2 linked regions of the Arabidopsis thaliana genome follow. The protein of the gene in region 2 interacts with the protein of the main gene of each other region in a biochemical or structural test. Each region holds a gene or a part of one and is shown on either strand. Other genes may lie near its edges.

Region 1 (4,538 bases), 3.5 Mb from region 2:
GTCGTCTGAATAGTTAGTAGGGAATAAGAACTTAAAGTATCAAGAAAAGAAGATGTAATGGCCATCTTCAAGTCTTTATACAACTAGGTTCAAGTGTAAAACCCAAGAAAATCAGTGAATATGAGATAATCAATACCTGCCTCAAGTGAGTGCAGGTAGCTTGAACAGCAGTATCAGACCATGAAGCTCCAATGGATTTAGATACAAGCAGCCGTGCAGCTGACATAGGTAAAAGTCTCAGCGATGCAATCAGAAAACTTGCTGTAGCCGACAGAACAGAAGACCTGCACAACATGATAACGATTTCACAACATTCTAAATAAAGACTGATTGGTTCTTTCCTATCGAGGATTCGTATTGAGAACAAAAGCTCACGCTGCAAGTTTGCCAATTAATGATTGCTTTGTTGATTGTTGGTTCAAAGTCAAAAATGGATATAGGCCAATGCAATATACCACCTGCAAAGCATTCCAGAGAATAATATAAGAAAAATCACATAGCACTGAAAGAAATTGTGATGGAGAAAGTACTACTCTTAGAGGAAGCCATCTATACCTTGTCCGAGAATTTCTTCAATAACTCAAGGGATATATAAGACCCAATAGAATGCCCAACCTACCAAGATCAATTAAGCTTAGAGTTGTAAATTTTCATGAAAATCTGGAAATCCATCCAACTAATGGACATATATATTTTGGTCATAAGAAGCAATATGTCAATGGCTTATACACATGACAGTCTTACCAATATTATTGGAACTTTCACACTCTCCAACTCCTGTCTGATAAAATCAATCTGTATGATAACTAACAGATTAAGATCTTAACTTCACAGGATGAACAATACAAGAACCTAAAGGCTTTCAAATCCAAGAGCAATGAAGAAAAATGATTTTTATTACCTTATGATCAATTTGTTCTTGAAATGAAAATAGCCTCCCAGACTCCCAGTCCTAAAAGTGAAAATAATCAAGTATCATGAAAGCCTATCAAACTAAGATATTATATGAAGAGAACCATCAAAGTTTACACACAGTAAAACCTGAAACCAAAGTTAACGTACCTTGCTCGTGTGAGATATTTGCCCAATAGCTACACAAATAAAACAAACCACTCCACCATTAGAGATCAGAAGAACAAACTCAAACTCAGAAATAAACAGCTTCCATCTTAAGGACTCAAAGAAATCAAACTCGAAAAGTAGAGCAGCCATACCAATTACAGAAGCATTTCCACCAAGAAACTCGTATAAAGATTCCAAAAAGTCCTTGTAAAATGACACAACTCCTGAAAAATTACAAGCCAATGTATGAAGCACACTAGTATATACACGTGCATGCATAAGAGTCTTGAGCATAATAATGAAACCTGGATTTCCCGGAATAAACAATACATGGAATGTGGGATTCTCAGCTTGAATTTCCATCATCTCCGTCATCGAACTTTGATCACAAATACAAAAAACAAAACAAAAAGTGTAACTATAGTCAAAGAAATTAGAAAATTTCGTAAAAGATTAATGTAACAATACCCAGAAACTCTGCACAATCTGGATTTAACATGTCTTTTAGTTTCATTCATCAATTTGTTTTGAGTCTCCATGTCTCCGGTCACGCGATTCAACTTATATCTTCTCTCAGAACTGTCAACACTTGAAAGGAGAAGATCGAGAGAATTAATGAGACAACAGAGAAACCACTAAAAATCAAAACTTTGCAAAATAAGTGAAGAAGCCTTTTAAAGTAAACCAAGTGAAGAGAGCACAACAATGCACCTGAAACAACAGGAGTAGATTAGATACTTTGGAGAACTGAACCACCGATCGGAGGAAGAAAGTAACGGAGAGACGGAGTTACCCAAGGTAGAAGAAGAAGACGCATATTTGCAGCAATAGTAATACGACCTCGTTTTGAGTAACGCGACGTCGTTTTATGAGTTTGGGTGTCGTCAGGCTTATCTCCACCTCATACTTCCACTACAAAGAGAGGTGATTGACAGATAGATAAGAGTGTTTGGTAGCTCAGACTCAGAGAGTCACAAAGTGTGTGTAGCAGCAATGGCGTCTGTTGCTTCTTCAACTACTCTCATCTCTTCTCCCTCTTCTAGGGTTTTTCCAGCAAAGTCTTCACTTTCCTCTCCATCTGTTTCTTTCCTTCGAACCCTTTCTTCTCCTTCCGCATCTGCTTCTCTCCGCTCCGGATTTGCTCGACGCTCTTCCCTCAGCTCCACTTCTCGTCGGAGCTTTGCTGTCAAAGCCCAGGCCGTAAGTTTATCTAAATGTCGATACTTTTCTTATTCGATGTCATTGAAATCTGAATTCATTAGCCTGTTATAGATTTCACTCTCTTCCTACTTGTTAGCCCTATAGGTTTTGGGGAAATAGTTAACGATTTATAGGTTATGCGACCGTGTTTCTGCAGATTACTCGAAAAGTTCAGAAATTTGAGTGACATTTTCGTTTAGGGTTGTTAATTTCTCTGGTGAAGTGAAATTGAGTGACATATGAGCTATACTCATTGACTGATTAGTATGTTCGGATGAGGTCTATGTAGTTTTGGTATAGTACCATGGTTATCTGATTGTCAATTTGACTGATCTTTCTCCTTAGATTTGATGTGTTAACGAGTTTTAATTTGGTGATTATAGGATGATCTTCCACTGGTTGGAAACAAGGCGCCTGATTTTGAGGCAGAGGCTGTGTTTGATCAAGAGTTCATCAAGGTACTTACAGCAGTTATCAATCACAGTTGCTGCTTCTAGTTAATCTGAGATTAAGTTTAGTTTTGAAGCTGAATGAGTAGTCTTTAGTGTTTTTTATTTAGTGAGTATATGTCTTATTGTGATTGGAAACTAATTGGTAACTGATGAATGTATGGTTTCAGGTTAAGCTCTCTGATTACATTGGAAAGAAGTATGTGATTCTCTTTTTCTACCCATTGGACTTTACTTTCGTCTGCCCAACAGGTTAGCATTGCTCGAGAAGTATATCAAAATTGAATATCCAAGGTTCCCTCATCCTTGAGTCCTAATCTTTCTCATTTTTTCCTTATGTCTTTTAGAGATTACTGCCTTCAGTGACCGGCATTCAGAATTTGAGAAGTTGAACACCGAAGTATTAGGTGTTTCTGTCGATAGTGTGGTAAGTATCACTATACATTTACTATGTTCTCATTTTACTCAGTTCCTCATCCTTGGTTGACATCACCATGTTCTTATCTGTTTGCAAATTTTTGATTCATTCTTATTTCTGTGTGTCCTCGTAGTTCTCTCACCTTGCATGGGTCCAAACAGACAGGAAATCTGGAGGGCTTGGTGATCTGAACTATCCCCTTATTTCAGATGTCACTAAATCAATCTCAAAGTCGTTCGGAGTGCTCATCCATGATCAGGTAATTGTTAGCCTTTAAATCTTGGCTACCTTCCTTTAAACTTTCGAAGTGTTTGGGATAAATGAAAACAAGAACTTTGTTTGTGTAAGAACAGGGAATAGCACTGAGAGGACTTTTCATAATCGACAAGGAAGGAGTGATCCAACATTCCACCATCAACAATCTTGGTATTGGCCGAAGCGTTGATGAGACAATGAGAACCCTCCAGGTAAAGATACAAATAAATACACACAACTCCAAAAACCGCTCTTTCCTTTCACTCGATTTCCGGTATGCTTAATACGTTTTCAATGTTGCAGGCATTACAGTACATCCAGGAAAACCCGGATGAAGTCTGCCCAGCAGGATGGAAGCCGGGTGAGAAGTCAATGAAACCCGACCCAAAACTCAGCAAAGAGTACTTCTCAGCTATTTAGAAACTCTACTATGATAGCAAAAAGGTACAATCTTTGTTATATGTGAGCAGAGTTTTTTTTCTTGTACGCTAAAACAATCCTTTGTTTGATTCTCACTTTGTCCCCAAAATTATAATAAAAAACTTTTTCCGTTAATGGAAGTCTTATTGTGTTACGCCTACAAATTCATATTCAGTTGATCACTTACCTAAGCATGTACACTGTACATATTAATGGTAAAAATCAAGACCATTTTGTGATCTTCTTTGATAGCACAGAGAAGCCATTGTTCTACCATATACGCTAGTCATATTAAAGGACCTGTAAAAAAACCAAAGGACAGAAATTATAAAACTATCATTTCTCTTTCTTTAATGCATCTATATGATAATTATGATCCTTAAAAAGCTGATGCTACCTGTAAAAAAGTTGCTCATGTGTCCCCCTGCCAACAAATTCCAACATCATTAATCATCATCAACCCAACCTCCTCCGTCAACTGATGACCGGTAAACGCCGGTCAACTCTCCTGCTTTAACTACACTACGTCCCGGTCATTATTTTTTCACACTCTCTCTCAAACGATGCATGCCCTCACCAACTCCGGCGCCGTACTTCTCGCCGTGTTACTCTTCTTTCTGCTCATCCTTTTCGCCGAGCTCTCTTACATCTTTTGTTGCCGCACCGGATCTTTACCGTCTCCGGCAAGTAAAGAGGTTCTTTTCCAATTCTTGATGTGTTGCAAGAAGAATCAC
Region 2 (6,007 bases):
GCTTATAGTTTCGTTACTGGATTGCACGCTTGCAAACCTGACAGGTTTTTATCCATCTTATCTCTGTCTTGACCATTAACCTGCAGACCATGGATAGCTTTTCTGTTTTAATGAAAACATCAGACAAGTTATATGTATTTTTTCACAGACCTGCAATTGCTTGGGCAACATGGGATCTTATCGCTATGGTGGACGATGGCAAACATGATGGGACTCCAACACACTCTGTAACCTTTGTGTGGAATGGACATGAGGTGACTGTTGCTTCACATGCTTTTATTACTTTGCTGCAATTCTTTATGGAACTCGTGATCTGTAGGGTTGAGCAACTAGCCTCTGTGTTTTAAGTTACACCTTGGTTTACAGGGGGAGGAGGTATTGTTGGTTGGGGATTTCACAGGAAATTGGAAAGAACCGATAAAAGCAACGCACAAAGGCGGTCCACGTTTTGAAACTGAAGTTAGACTTACACAGGGAAAGTAAGTCATGCTTCTTTTACCTTTCCCGTTGATGCTTTTTTTAAGGTTCAACAGTAAAACGTCTCATAATCTTCCCTGCATGTTAATTGTGACTTTTGAGGGATTGCAAACTGCAAAGAAACTTATGAAAATGCATTTGTGTCATATAACTTGGTGATTATTGACAATGTGGCAGATACTACTACAAGTACATAATCAACGGTGATTGGAGGCATTCAGCAACTTCACCAACGGAAAGAGATGACCGAGGAAACACGAACAATATAATTGTAGTTGGTGATGTTGCTAACGTCAGGCCTACAATTCAACAACCAAGAAAGGTTACTCCTACTATGCAGTAGTCTCTTCTTCATACAATAGGAAAAGCTTGAATAAGATGTTCCACGTTATATTTGCCTGATTGGTTCAAGACATAAACCTGAAGCAACTTGTACAATGTTTTGCAGGATGCAAATATCATAAAGGTGATCGAGAGAGTGTTAACAGAGAGCGAAAGATTTAGGCTGGCGAAAGCAGCTCGGTGTATCGCATTCTCAGTTTGTCCAATAAGACTATGCCCAAAGTCGTAGAAGTTTTGTTTTGGCATAAGTTAAAATGTTACATCCATTCTTCTGTCTCTATCCATTCCTCGAGGTACTTAACCCTAATATCGTTGTGAACAACATTGCCACATTCGCGCACTCTATGACAAGAGAATGTTGACATTATGTTGTGTGTTTGCATGAAAAAATGTCGACATAGTTTCGCCGTTGCCCACTTTACATATAAGTCCCAAAACCAACCCTAATGCGTTACTGGTCTCTGTATTTCTTCTTCATTTTCTCTCTCTCTCTCGCTCTCTCCTAACATGTTGAAGAAAATAGAAACTCTGTTATCTAATGTTGCCTATATGATGATTTATGGCCATGGAAGGTCTGAGAGGAGAGACCCTTCTTCTCTATTTTTTTTATTTCCTCTTCATTTTCATGCTAAGAGTTTTCACTGAGTCTGTTGTTTCGTAGAGTAGAACAGTCCATGATCGATGTTAATCCTTTGCATCTTCTAGATTGTGTATACAATAGCAATCTCTGGTCTAGAGAGAGCCTAGAGAAGTATGGATCTTTCTATATGTATACCACAAACAAATGGCCTAACATCTAAAGTGGGTGGTGATTATTTAAGATGAGAGCCTGAGAGGGTAAGTGAAAGAGGCTGATCCTTGTTTTCATGATAAGGGACCTTATCCTCTAAACCTTTCTGAGACCTTTTATTTTTTTATAAAAAAAAGAATTGAAAGAAGAAAAGAGCACGTAAAAGTTTTGAAATCTTGAGCTAATATTCCTCATCCACAAGAAAAGAAGAAAGTTTGTTATTCACCGCAGCTATCGCTTTCGTTATCCTCGTTCCCACAACCTCACCATGACCATGAGACTCCGTTCTTTTAAACTCCCAAATCTTTCAACCAATCCCATTATTCACTTAAGTATATAGTAGCTTCCATAAGAGTCTTAGTTCTAACTATAAATACACATATCTCACTCTCTCTGATCTCCGCTTCTCTTCGCCAACAAATGTCGACCGCTCCTCTCTCCGGCTTCTTTCTCACTTCACTTTCTCCTTCTCAATCTTCTCTCCAGAAACTCTCTCTTCGTACTTCTTCCACCGTCGCTTGCCTCCCACCCGCCTCTTCTTCTTCCTCATCTTCCTCCTCCTCGTCTTCCCGTTCCGTTCCAACGCTTATCCGTAACGAGCCAGTTTTTGCCGCTCCTGCTCCTATCATTGCCCCTTATTGGGTATACATTTTTACATTCATCACTGTTTCTTAACCTACATTATTTCTTACATAACTTACATTGCTGTTTACGTATAATAGGGGTACATTACATAGATAGCAAACTAAAGTTACAGAATTTTAAAATTTGTAAAGATTTTACGAAATTATTATATAGATTCTGCAATTGCCATTTTAGTGATAGGAACAAAAATCTTCTATAGAAACTAGCTTACGAAACTTCCACAAATCTTGGAAACTGTCACATGTGTTTCACATTTCAGTTTTTTTTTCCCTTGGTATTTCCTTATATTATCCTTACTATTATCATCCGTGTTTGACTTTTGGTCTTTAGCGTGGTACTGAAAGAATTACCCAAATTAACAAGAATCAAACTAAAGTTGCTTAATTAGTGAATCACAAGCAAGGGAAGAGTTCATTTTCAATCCTTATTCTATACAGATCTTCAAACTACTTGCTTCGACATCTAGTGAAGTTAAAAACAAATCACCTCGAAATATTAAAAGCGTTGTCTCATTCCTACCCAAGATCCGACATTTTTGAAATTTTGAGAGTTAGAACGTACGTAGGATCCACGTGATAAAAGAAAAGTTGCTAGTAGTAGCTTCAACAAAAACGATTCATGAAACTGAGACGTGTGTGTATGCACATGTACCATATGAGAGCGTGTGGAGCATAGTGGTGATTAAGTCGCCATCTATATTTATTCATTCAACCTACCGATTTGGTTCCTACTAGCGAAAATAAAATCATAATATAAAAGACTATAAAATTGTACTTTATCGTATAATGAAGTTCTGAACAGGTTGATTGTAGTTTCAACATTTAAAACACGTCATGACTCGCTCTCTACTTAATTACGTTCACGACAATAAAATATACTAGTACTCATTTTCTTCTAATTTTATTTGGTCAACCAACTTGCAGAGTGAAGAGATGGGAACCGAAGCATACGACGAGGCTATTGAAGCTCTCAAGAAGCTTCTCATGTAAGTATATACATCTTTTCTATTCGCATGCATACATTAATACATGATTAGATTAATAAAAGCTAAAACATTATTATAAATTAGTAACGGGATTTTTCAATACTACTTAATTCATAATTTTTGTGATTTAACTATAAATGTATATAAACATATGGCAGCGAGAAGGAAGAGCTAAAGACGGTTGCAGCGGCAAAGGTGGAGCAGATCACAGCGGCTCTTCAGACAGGTACTTCATCCGACAAGAAAGCTTTCGACCCCGTCGAAACCATTAAGCAGGGCTTCATCAAATTCAAGAAGGAGAAATACGAGTAATATATATTTCTATTTCATTTGTTTGTTCTTAATTATGTCACCAACTAAAGTGGTCTAGATTAATTAACTGGTTCATATTTATACTTTTATTTGCAGAACCAACCCTGCTTTGTACGGTGAGCTCGCAAAGGGTCAAAGTCCTAAGGTAAATTAAAAATAAAACTAATACTATGTGTATATCATGGTTGCTTATAAATTAAAAATGAAACATTAAGAAAAAGTAATTAACAAAGGTGTGTGAATGGTGGTGCAGTACATGGTGTTTGCTTGTTCAGACTCACGTGTGTGTCCATCACACGTTCTGGACTTTCAGCCAGGAGATGCCTTCGTGGTCCGTAACATAGCCAACATGGTTCCTCCTTTCGACAAGGTTAATAATTTAACACGTCTGTCTCTCTATAGATATAAACTCTTCTATCTTAAACCTTCTGCCTCTTGAGTCTTGACTTTTGTCTTGAGAAGTCGTGACATTCACTTTCTATTTTCATTTTTGGGTTGCTAAATTGGCAGGTCAAATACGGTGGCGTTGGAGCAGCCATTGAATACGCGGTCTTACACCTTAAGGTGAAAATAAAATAAAATAATTAACACCTTAACCAAAAAAAATTATTTATCAAAGTACATGTAATTAATTTTTGAATGAATTTATTACTGTAGGTGGAGAACATTGTGGTGATAGGACACAGTGCATGTGGTGGGATCAAAGGGCTTATGTCTTTCCCCTTAGATGGAAACAACTCCACGTAAAATATCTCTATATCCATTTTATTAAAATTTAATCAATTTTAATAACAGGATTTATTAAATGAGATTAGTAAAAAATATATACGTTAATTGCAGTGACTTCATAGAGGACTGGGTCAAAATCTGTTTACCAGCCAAGTCAAAGGTTATATCAGAACTTGGAGATTCAGCCTTTGAAGATCAATGTGGCCGATGTGAAAGGGTATACAAACACATGTTAGATCGATGAGCTGATCATATATAACAATATAAATGTATTGATAAATGCAGGAGGCGGTGAATGTTTCACTAGCAAACCTATTGACATATCCATTTGTGAGAGAAGGACTTGTGAAGGGAACACTTGCTTTGAAGGGAGGCTACTATGACTTCGTCAAGGGTGCTTTTGAGCTTTGGGGACTTGAATTTGGCCTCTCCGAAACTAGCTCTGTATGAACCAATCCATCATCATCATCATCATCATGACCATCCATCATCATCATCATTATTATCATCGTATATAATATATATCTACCCCATATGTAATTTGTAATGTGCCTTTGACTGTGATGAGTTATCTCTCCCTCTCTACCAACTTTCTTCATATATATAAAACAAAAAGGAAAAGCAGATGATATAGATCTTTCGTGGTTTAATTATGAACAATTGTCTTTATTATTTGTGTATCAAATCGGTTGTATTTATGGTTTGATTTTATTTTCTATGTTGTTTGGTAGGTTAAAGATGTGGCTACCATACTACATTGGAAGCTGTAGGAAACTCTTTGAAGCCTTACCCGATTTCACATTGTCAATTCAATAACACCAAGTTGTTGTTTACATGCAGATCTTGATGAAACTGGTTTTTGATTTTACAGAATTAAAATCTTGGGGGACAGAAATTTGAATAAAAACTAAAAAAAAAAAAATCAAAAAAAAATCATTGAATCGTAAATAAGGATATCCGGGACGGGCGGATCCGGATAATGAAAAAAATGAACCCGGATATCCGGATCCGGTACCATTAACTACATGAAATAAAAAGGCTTGGAAACCCATTTAGCTAAAAGCCCATATATTTAACAAACCAAATATTTTTGATACCCAAGCCCAATTAATTATCACTTGCCGACACAAACACAAAATCATTCTTTGAAGGTCACAAAATCATTTCGATCTCTTCTCGATATCTCACAAACCCTAGAACTCTGGATCTTTTAATTTCTGGGTTCGATACCCAAATCCTTAAAACTGTCGAATTCTGGTACCCGGAACCCGGATATCCCAGTCTAACAGATCCGGATGCGGATAGTGAAACTGTAGATTTGTAGCTTCGTAGTTTTTTGGTCATATAAAATATAAACATCTGAAATTTGTCTGTGTATGTTGCTGTTTAAATTTGTCCGCCTACACATTATGGGCCTAGGCCCAAGTTTGCAATTCTTTATTGTGGCAATTAAATGGTCAGGTTCGGTTTAGGTTTTACATATCCATCATGAAAAAGCACCGTTGAACGGGCTTAAATCTTTGTCCAAGGACGACGTTTATGAATCCGGTATAAATCGATCGAAGAAGATTAAACCCACAAAACGAAAAGGCTAAAGCTTGAGGAAAAAGTAGCAAAGTGACCAAGAGTCCCATGATTTCATGAAGACATGAACTATATATATCTACTCATTGATTTGATAAATACATTATATTTGATGTTACATATTTTTATTTGAGATTTCTAAT

Evidence for each region.
Region 1: the proteins of CA1 (region 2) and AT3G11630 form a complex in vitro, tested with the Arabidopsis thaliana proteins (one study listed by BioGRID).

What each region holds. Positions count from the first base shown.
Region 1 is NC_003074.8:3,670,134-3,674,671, forward strand, and holds AT3G11630 (Thioredoxin superfamily protein), read left to right. Parts: upstream 1-1,902; 5' UTR 1,903-2,055; coding exon 2,056-2,262; intron 2,263-2,645; coding exon 2,646-2,720; intron 2,721-2,881; coding exon 2,882-2,963; intron 2,964-3,058; coding exon 3,059-3,138; intron 3,139-3,262; coding exon 3,263-3,388; intron 3,389-3,482; coding exon 3,483-3,596; intron 3,597-3,687; coding exon 3,688-3,804; 3' UTR 3,805-4,026; downstream 4,027-4,538. Other genes in the region: AT3G11620 (alpha/beta-Hydrolases superfamily protein), read right to left, coding at 137-284, 376-458, 556-615, 745-795, 902-952, 1,063-1,091, 1,215-1,286, 1,368-1,441 and 1 more; AT3G11640 (uncharacterized protein), read left to right, coding at 4,368-4,538. UniProt on the Arabidopsis thaliana protein: Thiol-specific peroxidase that catalyzes the reduction of hydrogen peroxide and organic hydroperoxides to water and alcohols, respectively. Plays a role in cell protection against oxidative stress by detoxifying peroxides.
Region 2 is NC_003074.8:193,896-199,902, reverse strand, and holds CA1 (carbonic anhydrase 1), read left to right. Parts: upstream 1-1,742; 5' UTR 1,743-2,029; coding exon 2,030-2,251; intron 2,252-2,338; exon of another isoform or gene 2,339-3,055; intron 3,056-3,177; coding exon 3,178-3,239; intron 3,240-3,397; coding exon 3,398-3,547; intron 3,548-3,647; coding exon 3,648-3,696; intron 3,697-3,804; coding exon 3,805-3,921; intron 3,922-4,061; coding exon 4,062-4,115; intron 4,116-4,208; coding exon 4,209-4,294; intron 4,295-4,391; coding exon 4,392-4,497; intron 4,498-4,565; coding exon 4,566-4,724; coding exon of another isoform or gene 4,725-4,730; exon of another isoform or gene 4,731-5,011; coding exon 5,012-5,050; 3' UTR 5,051-5,477; downstream 5,478-6,007. Other genes in the region: LSF1 (uncharacterized protein), read left to right, coding at 1-44, 149-254, 367-479, 655-799, 926-1,048. UniProt on the Arabidopsis thaliana protein: Reversible hydration of carbon dioxide. Required for photosynthesis in cotyledons. Binds salicylic acid.